Linked DNA regions of Alligator mississippiensis. The protein of the gene in region 1 interacts with the protein of each later gene in a pairwise test. Links are inferred from orthologs where the notes say so. Each region holds a gene or a part of one and is shown in the gene's direction. Other genes may lie near its edges. The genes, in order: RNF185 and YIPF2.

Region 1 (9,364 bases):
GGGTCCCAGGCGGCCTCGCGGAACCGCTCCCAGTCCTCCGCGCTGCTGCCGCTCTCCGAGTCCGACCCGCTCGCGCCTCTGCCGCTCGTGGGCGCCGCCATCTTGGGAACCTCCCCGGCCGCCAAGCATTATGGGACTTGTAGTCCAGAACGGCGCTTTCCCTCCGCAGCCCCTGCGGACTGGAGCCGGCTTGTCCGCGGGAGCTCTGCGCTCCTGCTCCAGCCTCTTTGGCAGGGTGTCCTCTCGCCCAGCAGTGCCCGAGTTGCTCCAGGGCCCTGCTTTCTATCTCCGTCCGGATAGCTAAGGCTGCAGCCTGCGCCCTGCCCAGCTTCAACAAGCGGCTCCGAGAGCCCAGCCCTGCGGGCTCTGCCCCTGGCTGCGAGGGCCCCGGGGAGAAGGGACAAGCGATGCAGAGCTCAGCGTAGCAGAGAATGCATGAGCTGTAACAGCTCAGGGGCCCTAAGGAGAAGGGGAGACCCGGCAAGCTGGGAAGCAGCAGTGGAGTCCTCAAGGACAAATTAGGCAAAGAGCCTGCTGGCAGTAAGTCTGGCAAGGGCCCAGGGGTGTAAAGGCAACAGATGAAAAGGAGTTGAGTGCTGAGTCCTGGAATAAATGTAAGAAGGGAAGATAGAGGCTGAATATCAAGGATGAGTACTCAGACAGCAAGACTTGTCCCAGCAAGAGATGGGGACAGACATGCTGCCTGGGTCTTTCAAAACTGAAGAGACAGACATATGCGATATGATAGAGATGCTAGAAAATGTGCACTAGCCAACAGTCCTGCCATTGGCAGGGAGATGTCAACTGGAGATTTGTGTTGTTCTCTTCCATTTCTGACAGATGGTTTGGGGTTTTGCTTTGCACAATGTTGTGTGCTTGGGCACATAAAATTCCTGGAGGACTCTGTCAAGATGTGGAAAATGCAACAGGTAGACAGTCATTAATCCATGTATGAAGAAATACATTAGGTATATTTTTTCCATGCAAAGAAAGTCTACATTGTCACCACCTGTGCTTCTTGTAACTAGCATGCACATAGACATGGGATTTTGCGTTCCAGGGACTCCAAACATGCTAACATTTAAGAGCAAAATTAAAAAGAACCAAATTATTTGAAGACAGAAAACAGTGGAGAACTGCTTTCCCAGCCTCTTTTAGTCAATACGTTTAATTGTATTTGGACCTTTCCTAATGACTCACAGTATGCTATGCAGCTATTTCTTTTACCTGGTAGTTTTACACTTTCTTAATGGAAATCTTTATGTTCCTAATAATACATATGAATCAAGATAGAAGTTTTAGTCCATTGTTATGTCTGCCAGTGAGGAGTACCAGATACTTCAGAGCATAGTGTAAAAAACTTTAATCTGACATTTATATGTAGGTTTCCCACGCTTTATGCTGTACATGTGTTCCTGGAAAATGGTGTATAACTTGAATTTGCATAAAGGGAACACACTTTACAATGTAGCAAATAGGGATATGTTCCAAGACCTTGACTGTACTGACTCCCAGACCCATTTCTACCACTTTTACAAGACAATTTTGGTACTTTCCCACAGAAGACAGTACACACAACAAGCACAGGGCATTATTATAATAAGGATGGCAACTACAGAAACATATGTTGCAGATAACAAGCAAGGAACACAGCTCCACACAGGAGACTATATTTTGGTGCTCGTCACTCCCACAATGCACTGCAGAAAACAGCTGACTGTGGGTTTCCACCATGCAGATGCATAACAGTGAATTTACATTGCATATAACAAATGTTTGGTATAAAAAGGGTCATCACATAAGAGCAAATTTGCATACAGAACCTGCATAAAGTGAGAGAAACCTGTAATGTGTGCTTATATAGGACAAATTGTTCAGGATGTTTGTTGTAAGCTTGTCATTATGGCAGTGCTTGGAAATATAATTAAAAAGGCAGATAAGAACTGCCATCCTAGAAAAAATGTTTGAAAGCAAGCATGTCACCTGCAGGAAACAGGTAAGATCCTTCAGGCCAAGAGAGATTCATGAAGTGAGTAACAGTTCCTGGAGAAGGCTTTCCATGTCCACCTAGAAAGAAAGGTTCAAGGAAAGACTGGAAATAGATGAGCTAGCATGGCTGTTGAAAAGATGTAGGGTAAAAAGGGTGATATTGTCAATTGTGTTTACATGAGGCCATGAATATACTACTGTGCTAAAAATACTAATAGTATGGGAGAATACTGGGAAGAATGACAGTGGAAAAGCACTGATGCTAGACCCTGAAAGAGCCCTGACAAGGTGAAGGATTATTTACCTTGAATTGTTTGGCAGTCTATTGAGTATCACACCCTGAGGAAGGAAATCAAGGCATAGCAATACACATGAGGGCTGATTTAGTAGATGTGGCACATACTTTCCTATAATCTTAGGCTGTCAAATGCCCTGGAACATGGGGTTGTACCCCTTATATATGTTTACCCTATCCAGTGTTCATCTGAAAGCTTTTACAAACGTATGACATGGTAATCCTTTGAATCCAACTTGTATTCAATGAGGAAAATACTGCCTTTCAACATTTTTTAACTTGTTGCTATTCCATTTAATTGCTCCTTGCAAATGTTATTATGGGAATAGATGGGAAAGCCTCATTTATCCTCTCCAGATTCTTCAGGGTTCAAAATTACTGTCTCCTTTTACTAACCTTGTCTCTAAACTTGCTTAATTTTTTCAGCCTCTTTTTTGTAAGGAAAGAATGCTTATCATACTGCTGTCCAACTCTGAATCTCTTCTAGTTTAAGAAATAAATGTTGGCTAGTAATCTAGTGAGTAAATGCTATGGATGTATATAGTGAGAGTGTATTTTAAATATTTATGTGAGGCAGAAATAGAATCATTCTTTAGATAGCCTAACATTATAACTTGCAACTATCATTTGCATTGACAAGATTCCCTCAGTAAGCTGTCTAAAGTTGCTTTTAAGTGAGTTGTATAGTTACCACAAAATGTCAAAGCAACAGAGAACATTTTGAGCACATTACTTACTTTCATGCTCATAATACTACAGAAAATCTGTTTATTTTGTAACAATATTCAATAAGAAATTTCTGCAGCAGTAACTAGCTGCACTGATTGCCACCTGGCTCATTCCAGCTCTAATAGGGTGATCTCATAATCCCACAAATACCTTCAGGGCCTGTGTAACATCTCACTAATTTGATATAACATCCAAGTACTGAAATGTTGTTGAAACACTGATGTCCCAAGCCAATCTCATGCTTCTCAGAATATTACAACTGTAATACAGGAGTTTCCTGTTAGGCCAGACCTCTCTTGGCCTTCTATCTGGTACCATGTAAACCAGTACAGCCTGTTCTATGGTCGGGTTGTTGTCAACTAAACGAGCACTCCCACCTGTGCTAGCCTGGGTGAGGAGGGTGTGTGGACACCCAGCAGGACTGAAAACAAGACCTGTCAAAGGTGGATGAGCTTCCTGCAAGCCAACAACTATCTGTACCTGGAGAGGAGATGGGTGCCAGCAGGTCACTTTGCCCAATGAATAATCAATGATGCAAATCAACTCAATTAATCTCATACCAGATTGGTCGAGGCCTGGGTCTACGACTGCATCCAGACAGAGTGCAGTAAAGGAGGGTTGTTACAGCATCTAAGGTGCTCCAACAATCGCAGCAGCCTTGGGACGGACTCGACTTGAATACAGGAGTTTGGCCTGTCTGACAAGATTCTTTGGGTAAATCCAGTATCTCTTATTAGACCAACTCTTATGGGCTCAGATCAAGCATAGACCTATGCTTGCCTGGCAAGAGAAACACCATGACTATGGAGGCAGTCCTTCCTAGTCACACTAGGGAAAACTGCTCTCCTGGCACAGGGATAGTACTTGCCAAGGTAATGTATAATAAACCTCCCACTTAGCTGCTGGAGTGGGAAGGTCTTGGCTTTAAGCCCACTTTATGGAAATTTAAGTGTCCTCCCTGGCTTGCCCCTGAGGTCCTATGGCTGAGGGCAAGCAAAACTTGGGGGCATCTGAACCCCAAGCCTCTGGGCTTGGGCTTGCAAGTAGGATGCCCGCCAAAGGTTTTGGAAACATCTGAAGCCCCAGGTGTGGGTGGAAGATGTTTGCTGGTAGTAGGGACACTTATGGTTCTGGACCAACTCTTGAATTTGGAATTTGTTTTGGCTAATTTGGCTTGGAATATGGAAAATTAACACCCCCCCCTCCCCCAAATAGTTTGAAAAATTCTTCTTACCAAGCTTTTGGGCACAAACACCCTTTGTCAGACTGAGGAAGCATCTGCAGATGGTCTGTGTTCTTCCTGGATGGCATGGTAAAGCAGCCAGAGACCAGTACTTTTATGCAAGAAAGCTAGTCAGTTAAATGTAAATTTAAGTGGTCAGTAGGTGAGAGACAGGTGGGAGGGGAAGGGGGAATGAATATAGCTGTAGTGAAAGGATGGGAGACAGGAGGGTAGGGGGGAAGGGAATGAGAGTAGCTGGTAAAGTAGAGGGTTTACGTGGGGAGTCAGATGTTAGATTTGACTGTCTGACAAATTCTCCAACAGAGCAAATATAACCAAGGTAACTAGCTGAGCTTTATGATGTAGGGCAGGATTAAAACTTTTGTAATAGCATAGCTCTCCATTCTAGATATTGTTCACATCTCCACCTCAGTTGTTAGTGTGATACATTCATATCCCAATCTAGGTTTTTTTGGTGATACTGTCACTGTGGACTTAGAAACTTTTACTGAGGGCAATTCTAAGGCTTTTAGCATGGCTTCCTTCCCTGGCACAACTAAATGTCACAGCTCTTATCAAGAGATTCACCAAGTTAACAGGTTCACAGAAGGTTAGGACTAGAAGGGGCATTGGGTCCAGCCCTCCTACTCTGGGCAGGAAAGACTGCTGGGGGCAATGTGGCAAGCAGCAGAGGGAGCTGAGGGTGACCACTGGGCAATAACTGGCCATGCTGACCTCCCTGCTTCTGGGCTGGGGGCTACGCAGTCTGCTCTGCTGTGTTTGAATCCATACACTGGGCCTGTGTGGTTTTAAGCTCTCCCTTTAGTCCCTGGGTCAGTCTCAGGCAGTGCCTCTGGCTCAGGCCTCCTTCTGGCACGTGCTCTAGACATGCATAAGAACACTGACATGGATTGCCATTTACCGGGTCAGACCACAGGGCCATCCAGCCCAGTAGCCTTTGTCACCTGGCAGCACAGATGCTGAAAGGGAGAGAGGACTGGGTATAACCAGGGGTTTTCCCACTGTTTCTCTCTCACTTGCAGCTTCCATGGTTGATGGAGGAGGGAAGCTCTCATTCAGAGGCCCCCATCCTGCCCTTCCACAGACTGGGTCTGGTGCCTCTCTGAGGAGCCCTGGCCCGGCCGCCGGGGCAGCACTGGCCGCCCCTCAGCCAGGTGACGGTCACCCCAAGGCCCTTGTCCCCAGCGCTCTGCTTTTGTGCACATCCCTTCGGGGCTGGGGATGCCCCGGGGCAGCAGGGAGGTGCCGCAGGTGCCGCCGGCTGCTGCTCCCTCCCCAGGCGCTGCAGGCTCGGGCCTTTCCCTCGGCCCCGGCGCCTGCTCCCCGTCTCCCGCCTTCTCCTCTGTGGAAAGGGACGGAATGGAGCCGGGCGCTGCCCGTCCGTAGGTGGCGGCTCCTCCGTAGCCCCATGAGGGGGAGACTTCCGCCCGGCCCCGGCTCCCGCGGAACCCCAGCGCTGCAGCCCGGCGCGGCGGCGGAGCGGCCGGTCCCTTCCCGGCGGGGCGGGCTTCCGGGGAGTCAGGTGACGGCCGCCGGGGCCGAGCGCGAGCGGGAGCGGCCCGAGCCCCACAGGTGAGCGCGGCGGGGAGTCCTGTCCTGTCCTGTCCTCTCCTATTCTGTGGGGTCCGCCAAGGGCTCGGGGCGGCGCCGGCGAGAGGCTGGATCCAGCGCGGGCGCCGAGGGCTCGGCCTCGGGTGCTGGGCTCGGCGGGGAGCGCCCCGCGGGCTGGGACGTGGCGCTCCGCCCTGGCCGCTCGCGGGGCAGCTCTGATGGGGGCAGCGGGGCCGGGGGTCCCCGGGAGCGACTGCATCGGCAGCGAATTGAGCCCCGGGAGCAAAACATCCCGTAGGCAACTGAATGGGGTTTGCTGTAGCGCGTGTTTAGCTCCGATGTGGGATTGTGGGGCGTAAGAGCCGGGCGTAGCTGGGGGCCTCCTCGCGGCCCAGCCGGGCGGGGCTGACAGGAAGGGCCCCCGGGCGCTGTCTTGTCCCTTGTCGGTTCCTGCCTCTGAGCCGGGGCATCGGGCACCGTCGGGTGTGCTCGGCTCATCCGGGTCTCATGTTTTGAACCTGTGATCTTCCTCCTTCCCTGTGTTCTTTTGTGTTTTCTCCCAAGAAATGAATTGTTACTTTCTCAGGGGCTTCCCTTTTTAAGGGAGGTGTATGGTTTTTCTTGGTGGGCAATGGCCCACAGTCCCTTGAAAGCAGCAAATAGGCCTGTAGGCCTGTCCCTTGTCGGTTGGTGCCTCTGGGCAGAGTTTCACTGGGAAGTGCCCACTGGCTTCTTGGACTCATTTGAGGGTTGTTGGGCACTGGCCGTTTGCCCTGCTCACTGTCCCACCTTGGCGCGCTTGTATTGAGCAATGATCTCACTCCTATCCCGTTTTCTCTTTAGCTATACCCCCAAACAACTTGACCTATACCCAGTAGACTTCCCTAATAACAGGGAGGGGCTAACCACTGCTCCATGGGTGTTCAGCCCACATTAGCCCTGTGTGTCAGATGGGGCTGGCATAGCCAGGTTATCTTCTGGGATTGTTCAGCATTTCCTGATCTGCACAAAATAAACTAAATACTTCTTTATTGTGTTTAGAAGTGTCAAGCAAAATCTCCTTGGTCAGCCTATAGAGATCTTTATCCATTGTCCACATCAACTCCTTAAAGAATGTTTGCTTTTAGTAAGTTAATTCCTTCATGCTCTACTGCCAGGAAAAATATCCGGGTTGTGTTATCAAACTGGTTAAAGCAGTTTTGCTTTATTCCTTGGATGTGCCCAGGTAAAAACAAAAAACAAAGCAAGCAAGCAAGGGTGCTTTTGGATAAGTGTTGTTCCAAGTTCTGTCTGAATTTATTCTCTTTTGGATGGAAGACAAAGAGGATAAAATGTGATTTAGTTATTTCCATCTCTTCAGTTTATTTTCTGATGGGTTGTAGTTCATATGGTTTCACTGTACATTGTATACTGACAATAACATTGCATTTGTGAAGCACCTTTAATTTCAGTGGATCCCAAAGCACCCTTTAAATGTAGGCCTCCAACTTCTGTCAGGTTCTTGAGCACAGGTCTATGAAGAAATTAAATAAGGTTGTGTATTGGTTCATGGATCCAGGCTGGGATAGTACTTTACACTAAAATGCAAACTATCTGTAAGAACCACCGATTGAATAACTGAAATGTGTATAGGACAGAGCAACATACAAACACAGGAATCTGGAATGTCTGTCTAAAGAGCAAGTTAAAGCATAACCTGTTTGTTTCTCTTCATCCATCCCCTGTCCCTTAACAAGTAGATAAATATGTGTTTAATAATTAACAAGTTGGATTGCCTCAGTTATGTACATGTCATGAATATCATAAAATGAACATCAAGGAATAAACTCAGTGCCCTAGCAAGGCGGGGAGAGTGGGGTGACCGCCCTGGGCACCAAAATGAAGGGGCGCCAAGAGGCACTGCCCAGCCGGGTCAGTGTGCAGGACAGAACTGCAAGCAGCTCGTATGGGGAGGCACAGGGATGGGGGGGAGGGCAGCTCCTGCCACTGCATGCACTCCCAAGTAAGCATAGAGGGGAGGGTGTGCCCCCCCCAGATCTGTGTCTGGGGCAAGAGTGGACTGCCGCTACGGGCTTTGCCCCAGGCACCAAACCTTGTTGCTACAGCACTGAATATACTTATAGTTTTTTGTGGGGCAAAAAAGTGATTTCTGACCACATGTTTATCACACTTAAAGTTCAGGGAACTCAGTTTATTTTTCATATTGGTGTTTTGTTGTTTGTGTGGGCTACATGTTACAAACAGTCTGAAAAGAAAGGTTTCCTGATGCTTTTACTGTTAATGACAGTTTTTTTAAATTTTAATTGCTGTGTTAGTACATGAGAAAGTGATCGAACTCACTTTCATTGCTCAAGTTGAGGGGGGTTCAGAAACTAAATACAATAGAATTCGTAATGAAAAGCAAACTTGATTTAAAAATTCCTTCAGTTTATTATAATCTCAGATATAACAAAGTGCAACTCATTAGAAGTTTTGTATTCATTTTGCTAAACAGAATTGTTAACTTGACAGGATCCCTTTTGATTTCATATTTCATGTACATAGCAACAAGAAGTATAAAATAGGGCTATCATCACAGTTAATGTGTGCGATTAATGCGTTAATCAGTTCCTGCATTAATTTTTTTATATTGCGCATATGGTTTTGGAGCCTGCTTCTGGGCTCCAATCCACCAACTCCAGGTTGCCTAGCGGGACAGTGGTGGCAGCACAAAAGACCGCAGGGCAGCCCAAGTGGCTGCAGTGCATGGGGTGTGGGGGGAGGTGCAAGGACAGATGCATACCAGCAGCTGCGGCCTGCACGCTGTGTGTACAGCAGTGCTGCACCATAATTCTGTAGCGGGGGAGAGGTAGGGGGAAAAGGAAGGGGCATGGCAGATGAAGTACCCCATGGTGAGGGAGGAAGTGGGGTAGGGGCTGGGGTGAATAGGGCCCTGTTGCCGGGGTGGGTTGTGGGCCAGAGCCACGAGAGGCTTATCCAGGGGTGCACGGGGGCTTGGCTCCCTGCCGCTGCATGCAACCGTGGGAGAGGGATAGGGGTCATGTGCAGAGGTAGGCTGCCCGCTGTGGGCTGGGACTCTGCACTCTGCTGCTTTTGCCCAGGGAGCCACATGCTGGCCACATGTTCCCTACCCTCCCAGCTGTCGGACGCACATCGTGGCATACTGCAGCTCCTGGGGCAAAGGCAGAAAGGCATAGAGCCCCAACCTGCAGCGGCAGCCTGCCTCTGTCCCGCACACAAATTGTGGGGGGGGTGGCCCCCATGCCTCCCCTGGGGGTACACACAGTGGCAGGGAACCATGCCCCCGGGCACCCCTGGACAAGCCTCCTGTGACTGTCCCGTGACCTGCCCTGGCCCCATGGCCCCATTAACCCCAGCTCTGCCCCATGCACAAATCAGGGGGCATGTGCCCACTATTCCTCCTCCACAGTTGCGTGCAGTGGCAGGGAGCCCCTCACTGTAGGAACCTTGATCGCCCCTCCACAGACATAGCCTCCAGGCGCTGTGCATGTGTCTGTGACTGTACTTCTCATTCCCAAACCGTAGCCCTCCCAGCC
Region 2 (9,907 bases), on another chromosome or scaffold:
TGCCACTCATCCTATTTTACCAGACAGCTCATGCTCCTCCAGCTTCTGACCTTCTACGTGGATCCTTCTAAATCTCAGTCTCATAACCCATAGCAGCAACTCTGCCAGTGGCAGTAAAGGCCTTCCTGCTTTCCCCATAGTAATGGGATCAGGAAATCCTACCTCACACCTGGAAGGCAGCATGTGCCCTTGAGTCCCTGCTGTGCTTGTTTCCAACAGTTGCTCTCTTTAATGATTCCATCGCTAAGCAGTTTCATCTTTGTCAAAAGCTCCCTCTTAGCAGGGGCTTTTGAAGTCCATCTCTCACTGGCCTTTCTTTGCTTTGTCACAGTCGTGCCAGAAGGGGAAAAAAATTATTAGAAGGCTTGGGAAAGGAGATAAAGAGAAAATTAAGACCTTTCATTAAAAAAAACAAACAAAAAACAACAAACCAAAAACCTCCAGACCTTTCCATTCTGGTTATATCCCCAGCCTGGAAACCCTCTCCACCTCTACTCAGTCCTTGATAATTAAGTAATGCTTTAGAAAAGCTTCTAGTTAACAAAGCTTTACATGGGAGGTGAACCATCCTGCTCCTCAGTCCTGAGTTTCATATTGTCACTCTATGCTGGTGTTTCTCCCAGGCCAACAGTGACCCCTGGGGCAGGTGGGTCCTTACAGACTATCCTGAGATGTTTAGGAAAGGCTGACTATTTTATCATGTTCCAAAGCAAAGAAAATCTTGCCCCCTCACCTTCCAAGGTCAAAAGGTTCCATATCCACCTCCACGCACACATGCACCCCCTCACACATTATCACAAAGCCTATATGTTTTTAATGTTTTTTCAGTAGATGCAGAGAGATCATGAACATTTTTTTTTACTTTAAGCAAGGGGCTGCTAACCCAAAAGCAATGAGAAATGCTGCTTCAACCATTACCTCCCACATCCTTTCAGAATATCAGGATTAAATCCAAGGACTCTAACAATCCCCCTCCCCCCCCTTACATTTTAGAGAGCGCACACACATTATTTTGTGCTGAAAATGTTTTAATTTTCCAGATCATTTCTCTGTCGATACAGTGGAAGGAAGGATCCACAGAGGATGTGATTTTGTTAGCAGGAATCACCCCTTTAAGGAAGGGATTTCAAAGCTTAGAGGAGTTTCTTTGCTAACTCTGTTATAGGTGTATGCGTAGGATTCACTATCTGATCATGTAACCTGAATTAATTATTCAAGAACTGTTTGAGGAGACATTTCATATTTGCATGCCTTGCATAAAACTATTTTAAAAACCTGTGAACGTATTCCTAACAAATCAATTTACTTTTAAACAGATGGGCCTATAACTCTTACTAAAACACGCAATGGAAAGACATGATCAAAATTACTGTGGCTGAGCTCAAGCCTCTGACTCAATTCTGAATTGGATGCAAATTTGGCTCCAATAGGAGCATGGAGTTTATCCAGTCTGGGGATGAGACTAGAAATGCTTATAATGGAGTGCTCTACCATGCCAGATTTGTCCCCATGTCACATAGTACTGCTACGCAGCAAGTTATTTGGGTCACAACTAACACCAGGACCTGCATCTGCAAAGCCAGTGATACCTAGAAGCCCCCTCCTGAAGTGTGACCTCAGAGCTACTCATGAATAAATGCTTCCCTCCCTTACATGTTGGGGGCTTTAGACACTAGAAGTATTTTAACACCCTCCTTGCTTTGTTTTTTGTTGTTCTATCTGGGAACCTCTATTTCCAGAGCACCTGACAGACTCCTTTAAATAAAAAAAAAAAAAAAAAAGGCTGAGGGTGCACAAATCAATCTTTTCCCTGGCCACAGCCTGATGTGACTACTATACACACTTGTCATTTATCTTGCTTTTGCTCACCTGGGTCCTCCATTTCTCCAGAGGACAGAAAACTGGGGAGACTAGAACAAGGCCTATTACAAGCTGTGTAAGGTCCAACTTTGCTAAAGAGAACCAGGTTTTTAATAAAGGAACCAAGCTCCCCAAAGTAGAAAGGGAAGCTAGTAAGTGAAAGGCCTGCTTGAGAAACCAGTCAAACAGCATGAAATTAAGCAGCCAGGAGCCATAACCAAATGAGAACAGCAAAAAAACCAAGATGGGAACCCTTGGCTACTAAAGCACCAATTTCCCTTCTCTGTTTATGGGCAGTTACCTCCAAGCTGAGGGCTAGGCAGTATTTTGGCCTTTTGAAAGCACTTTGGTACTGAAAGGACTGAGTGTGTGCGCAAACCAGGACTGCAGTGCTAATGTTTGTTCCCCCCACTTTTTTACACAAGCCAGAGCTGCAGATGGATTTACTAGTGAACTGGCGGCAGCAGCAGCAGCAAGTCAAGATGTCCCAGTGCTGGAATGCCATGCAGAGATTGAGAGGACAGAAAGGAAAGTTCCTGGGTAATATTTACCTTGTGCTTTGTCACTATGCACACACTGCATTTATCTCTAGGTATGTCATGCATGCAACACTTCTGCTTTTACTATTCCATTTGTGTCTTTTCTAGACAAGCTCTTCTGCTTTAAATTCATGGCCCACTTGAATTGGAATAACTTTTCTGGGCAGATGAGCCCTAATCCTCTCTCTCACACACATGCTGCATGCATTGTAGATCCAGGTCTTGACTCCCTGCCCCCTGGCTGGGGAAGCAAGAAGTGGGTGGAGGAAGGCAGCATGAAGCTCTCTCTTTGCCCCCCCCTCCCACCCAAACTCAAGGGCAGTCCAAAAGCTGCTCACTCTCACTCTACTTCCTGGGGAACAGAGAACAGTGACAACAGACCACACCTATGGTTTACCCCCTACCTCTGGGCTTGGGTATGGGGCTCTTGTACCAGCTGGGGAAGCCCCAGCACAGCAGAGTTCTCAAGGGGCCATTTCTACCCCCACTGCATTGTTATGTTGGCTGAAGAGGGCACTTCACAGAGCCCAGAACACCAAGCTGTGTGCATGGGCTCAACCCCTCCCCCCACTGTCAGTGTCTCTCATTCATCTTTAAAAGAGCTGGAGCGTAGGCTGAGCCATCACAATCAAAGAGAATCAAACAGAAATCCCTAGGCAGCAGATGCCTCTAAGACCCCAGCTCCTGCAGTTGCTCAATCAATTATTCAATAGGTTAATAAATCATTAGAACAGGATATTTTAAGAGCCCAACCAGCTCCTGAATGTTGCCTTCTTGTTCCAGCTCAGGTGCAGAACAGCCATCCTGTCTTGGGGAACTCAGTTTATCTTTTGCTTTCTCTGCCACCCCTTCACCAAAAGAGGTAAGTGCCTGTTTCTTTCCCGACCCACTTCTGTTGTACTCTGGGCTAGCAAGAGACACCTTTTTCAGTCTTAGCAGCTCCATAAGGGGCTTCTCTAAATGCCTGTGAACTGTGCACTGCCCGCCAAGTCATAGCAGGTCCATGCCCCTGGGCTGCCTCCAGGTTCAGGGAGAACTGCAGTGGGAATCTCTGCACCTTTGTCTGAGAGCAGCAGTACCAAGGAGTTTTCCTTAGCTCTTTAGCACCCTCTGCTGTTCCCTGAGGAGCTGACAGAAGGCTCAGACTTGGGTTGGGGGCTACAATACAGCTGAGGCTCTATGCAGAGGATAGAAGGCAAACAAGACCAGCCCCCTTGGAAGTGATGCTGCTTGGGCCACCTCCACCCCAAACAGACGTTTTGGCTGATGTTGCCCCAGATGCCCTGGAGCCTCAAATACTCCCCAGTGACCAGGGGCTTTGGTTTCACCTCATTCCAACTATCACAGAGCTGCAAAAGTCACGTGGGCCCTAGCGGATTATCCACCCAAAAGCAAAGGCTTCCCTTTATGACTCACCTGCCCTGCCCCCCAAAACTGGGCTGGGCACTGGGGGCAGCAGCAGCAGCTCAGAAAGGAGCGTGCCTGTACATGCCACCTGTACCATTTTCAAGAGCACATGGGTCCCTGTTACCAGTCTCCCCTCTGAGCACTGGATCTGAACTCATCTAGAAGAGACAGAAGCCCTATGGAGCGACATTACCCTGGAACACCTCTAAGCCAGTGGTTCTCAACCTTCTTCAATTCAAGGCACACCTTGATAGAACCTTGGAAGAGGTCAGCTCTTAGCTTCCACTTGATTTTTCTTACACAAAAATCACGGAGCAGTTTTTCTGTTGCAGAAAACACAGAAAGATCTGAACAGGTCAGAACATTTTGCCACTCTGGATTAATACTTGAAACCTTTCTGCTTATCTTGTCAATCCTGTTTGCATGTCTAACAGCACTAACATTGTGTAGCACCTCTGAAAGGATCTTAAGATGCCCCAGAGTGGTGCAGGGTCCCAATCAAGAATCACTGCTCTAAGCACTGGGTTGGCATGGTACCCACAAGAGGCAAGGCAAGCCCATGGATAACGCATCCCATAGGTTAGTACAAAAATCACAGCAAACGTAAGAGCCTCCGCATCCTCTTTATTGAATGCCAGTGCCACCAAGGCTGGGAAATCAGCATGCAACAAGGCTGAGGGGTCCAACAAGAAACAATCCCATAGTAAAACCTATCTGAGCTTCCATATCCACCCTGGCTCAAGCAACCGCTGCTTGGTTCAGGTTACTGGTTTGTGACCCCCTGAGGCAGTGGCTGCATCTCCCTCTCTGCCTGCTCGATTTGTTCCTCTGTCAGGACAACAGGCTTGTATTTCTCGCCGAACAGTCTCTCATTAGTCTCCGAGTGGAGGTTCTGGAAGGAGATGATGCGGAGCTGCTCTGGAAGGTTCTGGAACTCCTCATCATTGATGTCAGAGTCCTTCATTTTGGCATTTAAAACCCACCAGCGCCCCCAGAACCCCACATCCAGGATGCGGCCTGGAAACTCTGTCCAGCGCGGCTGCAGGTGCTTGCACTGAGCCAAGTACAGGTCGGTCTCTGCGTCGAAAGGGGCCTCATACACCAGGGAAAAGAAGACCAGGCTCTGGTAGCGCAGCTGCCCCCAGTTCCTCAGCTGCATCAGGCGCTGAACGTGGCCCTTGGAGGTGGTGTTGCAGACCCAGGGGGAGAGGAGGAGCAGGGTGCCAGAGGCCTCGAGGAGGGAGGCATCGAAGGAGGTGTCGCTGGGGATGCGGAGGCTGCAGGCGGCTGCCCCGGCCAGCACCGAGAGGTAAAGCCCGGCTTTCCCGGGCCGTTGCCGGGCACCCACAACCACCTCCTTACAGGCTTCCACATAATCGTGCAGGAGGCTCTTCCACCACTGGCCTGCACAGGGGCAGCAAGGTCAGATGCTGCTGGCTATCAAGGGCCCAGCCCACCAAGGGGCGGCGGGTGCCCGCGCTGGGGAAGCCGACGCTCTGGGAGGGACCTGCAGCTACGCGCGGGGCCGGGATTAGAACCGAGAAGTCCGGGCTGCCAGGCCCTGCGCCAGCCCCTCCTCCCGTGGGAACCCGGGCCGCTGCCTCCCCCCCGGAAGAACCCAGGCGTCCGAGCTGCCAGGCCCTAGCCCCAGGAACCCAGGAGCCCTCCCCCTCCAACCTACCCAGGCGGCTAGCGCCGAGCCGCCCCCAGAAGCCGCGCCTGCCCCCCCGATCGAGTCCCGCGCCGCTCGTGGTGTCTGCTACCACCGCCATGGCGCCAACCGGAAACTGTTTCCGGCCGGAGGGGAAGTGGTGCCGGACCGGACGAAACCATCCCGGAGCTCGGGGGGGGGGGGGGCGGTTCCCCTTTCCTTTCCCCCCCCCCCCCCCCCGGGAGTGCGCGCGGCCAGGCCGGAGAAAGGGACACGCAGCACTGGAGCGGGGGGTGCCCGGCTTTGCCAGGACACGTCACTCCTCCCTGTCGTGCTCCCCTTGCACAGCAGGGCCCCGCCTCGGGGTGTCTCAGGAGCTCGCGCCTCAGTTTCCCCCACTCCCCCCCCCGGCCGTAACAAGCCTTCGTCTCCCCCAGGAGCCCGGGGTGCGCTGATGCTATGGCGGCCTCCGACCAGCTCCGCTTCCACGGTGAGCAGGCGGCCGCCCTCGGGGAGGTCCCGCCGGGCCGCGAGGGGACCGGACCCGGCTGCAGCAGGTGTTTTCCCTCCTCCCGCGAGGCCTTGGGGCTCTGGCGCCCCCAGAGCCCGGCCGGGCCCCGCGCCGCCCTCGGGCACTTACTGGGCGGTTGGCACGAAGCAGGGACGGACCCGCTGCCCTTGGCTTCCTGCCTCCTGGGACCGCGGGTACCCCCCGGCAAACCTCCCCCTGCCTCTGGCCGAGAGGCTCTGGCTGAGGGAGCCTGGCGTCTGCGGGGCATCTGCCAGTCCCTCATCCACGCGCGTATCCCAGCAGTTTTCCTGGGAAGGGGCACGGCGCTGGCTGGTGTGCTGTTCAGCACCCCCCCCTTCCCCCCCCCCCCCCGAGCACTTGCTAGCGGCCCTTGAGCCTGCTCCCTTCCTTGTTTTTTCTTTCGTTGCCCCAAATACTCTCGTTAGGTCTTCATAGGTTTGCCTAGTGGAGGGAGGTTTATAGCTCCCGGGTGAGCCAGGCCCACACTCCTCTGGGCATAACAAATAGGTCTGCCTAATGGAGACAGTGTGGTCTGGCAGTTAGAGCATAAAACTGGGACCTGGGTCCTTCTGGCCAAGATAGAAGTACCTTCTGTATCATCGTAACGAGGGTGATGAACTCCCCAGCTCCTTCAAGGCATGACACTGGGAGGGTGCAGGCTCAGGAGTGAGGGGCTGGACTAGGCAGTGGCCCCTGAGCCCTGGGCTGTGATGGCTGGCGCTTTACCCCTGCAGAATTTGATGAGGCCGCCGACCTGCTGGCTGCAACCCCCGATGCAACAACCACCAGTGTCAGTGAGCGGCAGAGCCATGTGGCCCTGGATGTGGGCTCCAGCTATGACGAGAACGAGGAGGGCGATGAGAGCGATAAGACAGAGGTCGGGGGCAAAGCTAGCGTGCATGGGCAGGAGGGTGGCAGGACTAGTCTGGAGGGGAGTGCTGGCTCCAGGTCGGGCCCAAGGTTGGCTGGGGCAGGGAGTGTGCACTAGTGGAATAAAGAGCCCTTCACTTCCCAGCCCTAGGTCCAGATCCAGCCTGGGCAGCTGTGCCTGGGCTGTTCCCAGCTGCTGCTAGCTGTGGAAGCCATCGGGGTCCAAGTAGATCAAGTATTTCTACCTCAGTTGTGGCTCTCTCTGGAGATGGGGCTCCTGCCTGGCATGCTGGGTAATCCCAGTTGCTTGGAGCAGCTGGGGTGGGGTGCACTGGTCTGGGAGGGAGCTGGGCTCACAGTTGGAGGTGCTTGGGGTTCTCTGTGGGTAAGGCTGGTGGGGCCGCGTGGTAACATACATTCCCTTCCTCGCAGCTGCTGAGCGGCCAGAAGCAGCCACCAAGTTTCTGGACCTTCGAGTACTACCAGGCCTTCTTTGATGTCGACACCTACCAGGTAATGGAGCCTGCGCCCTTGTGGGAAGGCAGCATTCTGACACAGGCAGTTAGAGATGCTGGCAGGAATGAGTCCCATAGATTCATGGGTTTCTCAGCTCCCAGAGGCTTTGTACATTATTAGGTATAGTATGGTAGCACCTGAGAGCCTCAGTCGCAGGCCAGAGCCCCATTGCACTAGGGACTGTACATTATGTATTATAATCATATTGGGAAGCCCCCACCTAGGACCAGGATGCAGCTTTGCTCTCTGGTTGCTGCCTGGTGAGCCCAGAAAGCTGCCTGCCTCACTCCACTCCTGCTTTCTTCACTGTAGGTGCTGGACAGGATCAAGGGATCGCTGCTTCCACTACCAGGGAAGAACTTTGTGCGGCATTATCTACGGAACAACCCTGACCTGTATGGTGAGCCCAGAGGGGGTCCATGATGTGGGGCAGGCCAGGGCAGTGCAGGCTGAGCCCTTTTGGCCTCCTGTGCCCCAGGGCTCAGGTGCCATCCGTCAACCAGAGCAAAGCAGGGCATCTTTGGTCTCTGGCTTCTGCCCCAGCCTGGGCTCAAGGTCGCACTACCCTTGGCCTCTTCCAGGGCCCTTCTGGATCTGCACTACGCTGGTGTTCACACTGGCCATCAGTGGCAACCTGTCCAACTTCCTGGAGAAGCATGGCAACACCTCCTTCCGCTACAGCCCCCAGTTCCACAAAGGTGAGGGGTAGGTATGGGACAGGCAGGCATGGGCCAGGCCCCATGAGAACCCACCAGGCTCCTGGGCAAACTTGACCCCTGCCAGGCACAAAGCTTTAAGTGAAAAGAACCTAGGAGTCTTGGCTCCCAGCCCCAAACCACAAGACCTCCTTCCTCTCCCAGTTGTGGGGGGAACCCAGGTGTCAAGGTCCTCGGTTCCCCCTGCTCTAACCCACCAGACCCGTCCCTTCCCACAGCTGGGAGAGAACCCAGGAGGCCTGGACCCCACCTCTTGGCATTTGAGTCTCAGCTTTGAGCTGATTCACTGTTGGCTGCTTTGCTGTCCTAGTGCCTGTAGCATGTACCGTGGGTGGTGGTTGTTGGGGGGGGGGGGGAACAACACAAAAGGCCCCCCCAGCTGGCTGGCTGGCCGGCCGGCCGCAGAGCACTGGGTGACAGGAGCCCATCCATTGGCAGTGACCATTGCAGGCGTTGCCATCTATTGCTATGCGGGGCTGGTGCCGCTGGCCCTGTGGGGCTACCTGCAGTGGCGCAAGGGTGTCTGCCTCAATGTGGCCTCCTACACCCTCCTGGAGACTGTGTGCGTCTATGGCTACTCCCTCTCAGTGTACATCCCTGCCTCGGTGAGTTTCCTGGGCCCCAAATCCTCCAAGGGGATAGGCTGAGTCTGGTCATGGAGCTGCCCTCTTGGGAAGCTGGTGGGGGTAGGGAACTCACCCCTGTCCCCTCTGCCATGGGCACCATGTCCTCTAACCCCTGGGCCCAGCTCAGCCATTTTAGCTAGTTGTCTTTGCTGAGACTGAATTTCCAGCCTGTTTGCTCCTGCCCTGCTATTTACCTCCAGACGTGGCGCCCTGCTCCCATCTGTGTTTACCTTCTGGGTGGTGGGTGCCCAGAGCTGCAGGCAGGGTCCCTGGTGCAGTGTAGACTCACAAGTATGAAGGCAGCTTAGATCCCCAGGGCTCCCTAGAGCCAGAATGTGCCATCCAGATCCTGGCCTGGACAACTCCTGCATCTCAGAACTGTGGGGCCCATGATCCTTGCTCATGCTTACCCCCTCCCTGTCCCGGTCTTGAGCAGGTGCTGTGGCTCATTCCAGTCTCCTGGCTGCAGTGGCTGCTGATCGCCACCGCTATGACACTCTCCGGGTCTGTGCTAGTTCTCACCTTCTGGCCACTCATCCGCTTAGACAGCCGGGCTGCCACATTGGCTGTACTGACCATTGTCCTCGCCCTCCACGCGCTACTGGCTGTAGGCTGCAAGGTACCCAAGGCCCAGCATCTTGTGGGGCAGAATAGGGGAGACCTATGCTTGGGCAGGGTCATGGCAGCTGTTGCTCAGTTTGGGTCTGGTGTTTGTTCTCTAGAGATCCGGGGGGGGGGGCACGTGCCTCAGATCTGGAACCAGGGACCTAAGCCAGGTCCCCCCACCCCCATTATGTGTACTTCTCGCTCAATTTCTTCTTGCAGCTCTACTTCTTCCAGAAGCCAGTATATGCTGTCCCTCTCCACTCTGCCTACACTAAGGCTCCAGGGGGGGCACAGCTACTTACAGCCTCTCACCCCCGCCTCAACAGCTCCATGACTACCCCCCTCCGTTTCTGAAGGATGGCAGGTGAGAGCTGGCCAGGGGGGCATGGGGCAGAACTGGTTCCCCCTGTGCCCTAGTTCCTGGCCAGAGAAGATGCCCCTAACTCTATCCCCACCACAGCCAGGGTTTCAAGCAGCAGCTGAGGCACCTGTTATGGGAACATGGGACAGACTCTGAGGAGCAGGACCCTGGGGCACGGTGGTCTCTATGCCAGGGCATGACAGGTGCAGCCCCCTGGAGACCC

Evidence for each region.
Region 2: the proteins of RNF185 (region 1) and YIPF2 interact in binary tests that used the Homo sapiens proteins (3 or more experiments, as listed by UniProt). The two-hybrid records come from large-scale screens. The link is inferred for Alligator mississippiensis from reciprocal best matches to the Homo sapiens genes RNF185 and YIPF2.

The regions. Positions count from the first base shown.
Region 1 is NC_081833.1:20,567,560-20,576,923, reverse strand, and holds the start of RNF185 (E3 ubiquitin-protein ligase RNF185), read left to right. Parts: upstream 1-5,664; 5' UTR 5,665-5,828; intron 5,829-9,364. Other genes in the region: C10H12orf43 (protein CUSTOS), read right to left, coding at 1-101. UniProt on the Homo sapiens protein: E3 ubiquitin-protein ligase that regulates selective mitochondrial autophagy by mediating 'Lys-63'-linked polyubiquitination of BNIP1.
Region 2 is NC_081831.1:23,570,200-23,580,106, forward strand, and holds the start of YIPF2 (protein YIPF2), read left to right. Parts: upstream 1-5,692; 5' UTR 5,693-5,911; coding exon of another isoform or gene 5,912-5,916; coding exon 5,917-5,947; intron 5,948-6,723; coding exon 6,724-6,866; intron 6,867-7,291; coding exon 7,292-7,372; intron 7,373-7,687; coding exon 7,688-7,775; intron 7,776-7,956; coding exon 7,957-8,073; intron 8,074-8,529; coding exon 8,530-8,696; intron 8,697-9,153; coding exon 9,154-9,336; intron 9,337-9,542; coding exon 9,543-9,677; 3' UTR 9,678-9,687; intron 9,688-9,783; exon of another isoform or gene 9,784-9,907. Other genes in the region: TIMM29 (mitochondrial import inner membrane translocase subunit Tim29), read right to left, coding at 4,570-5,210, 5,488-5,578.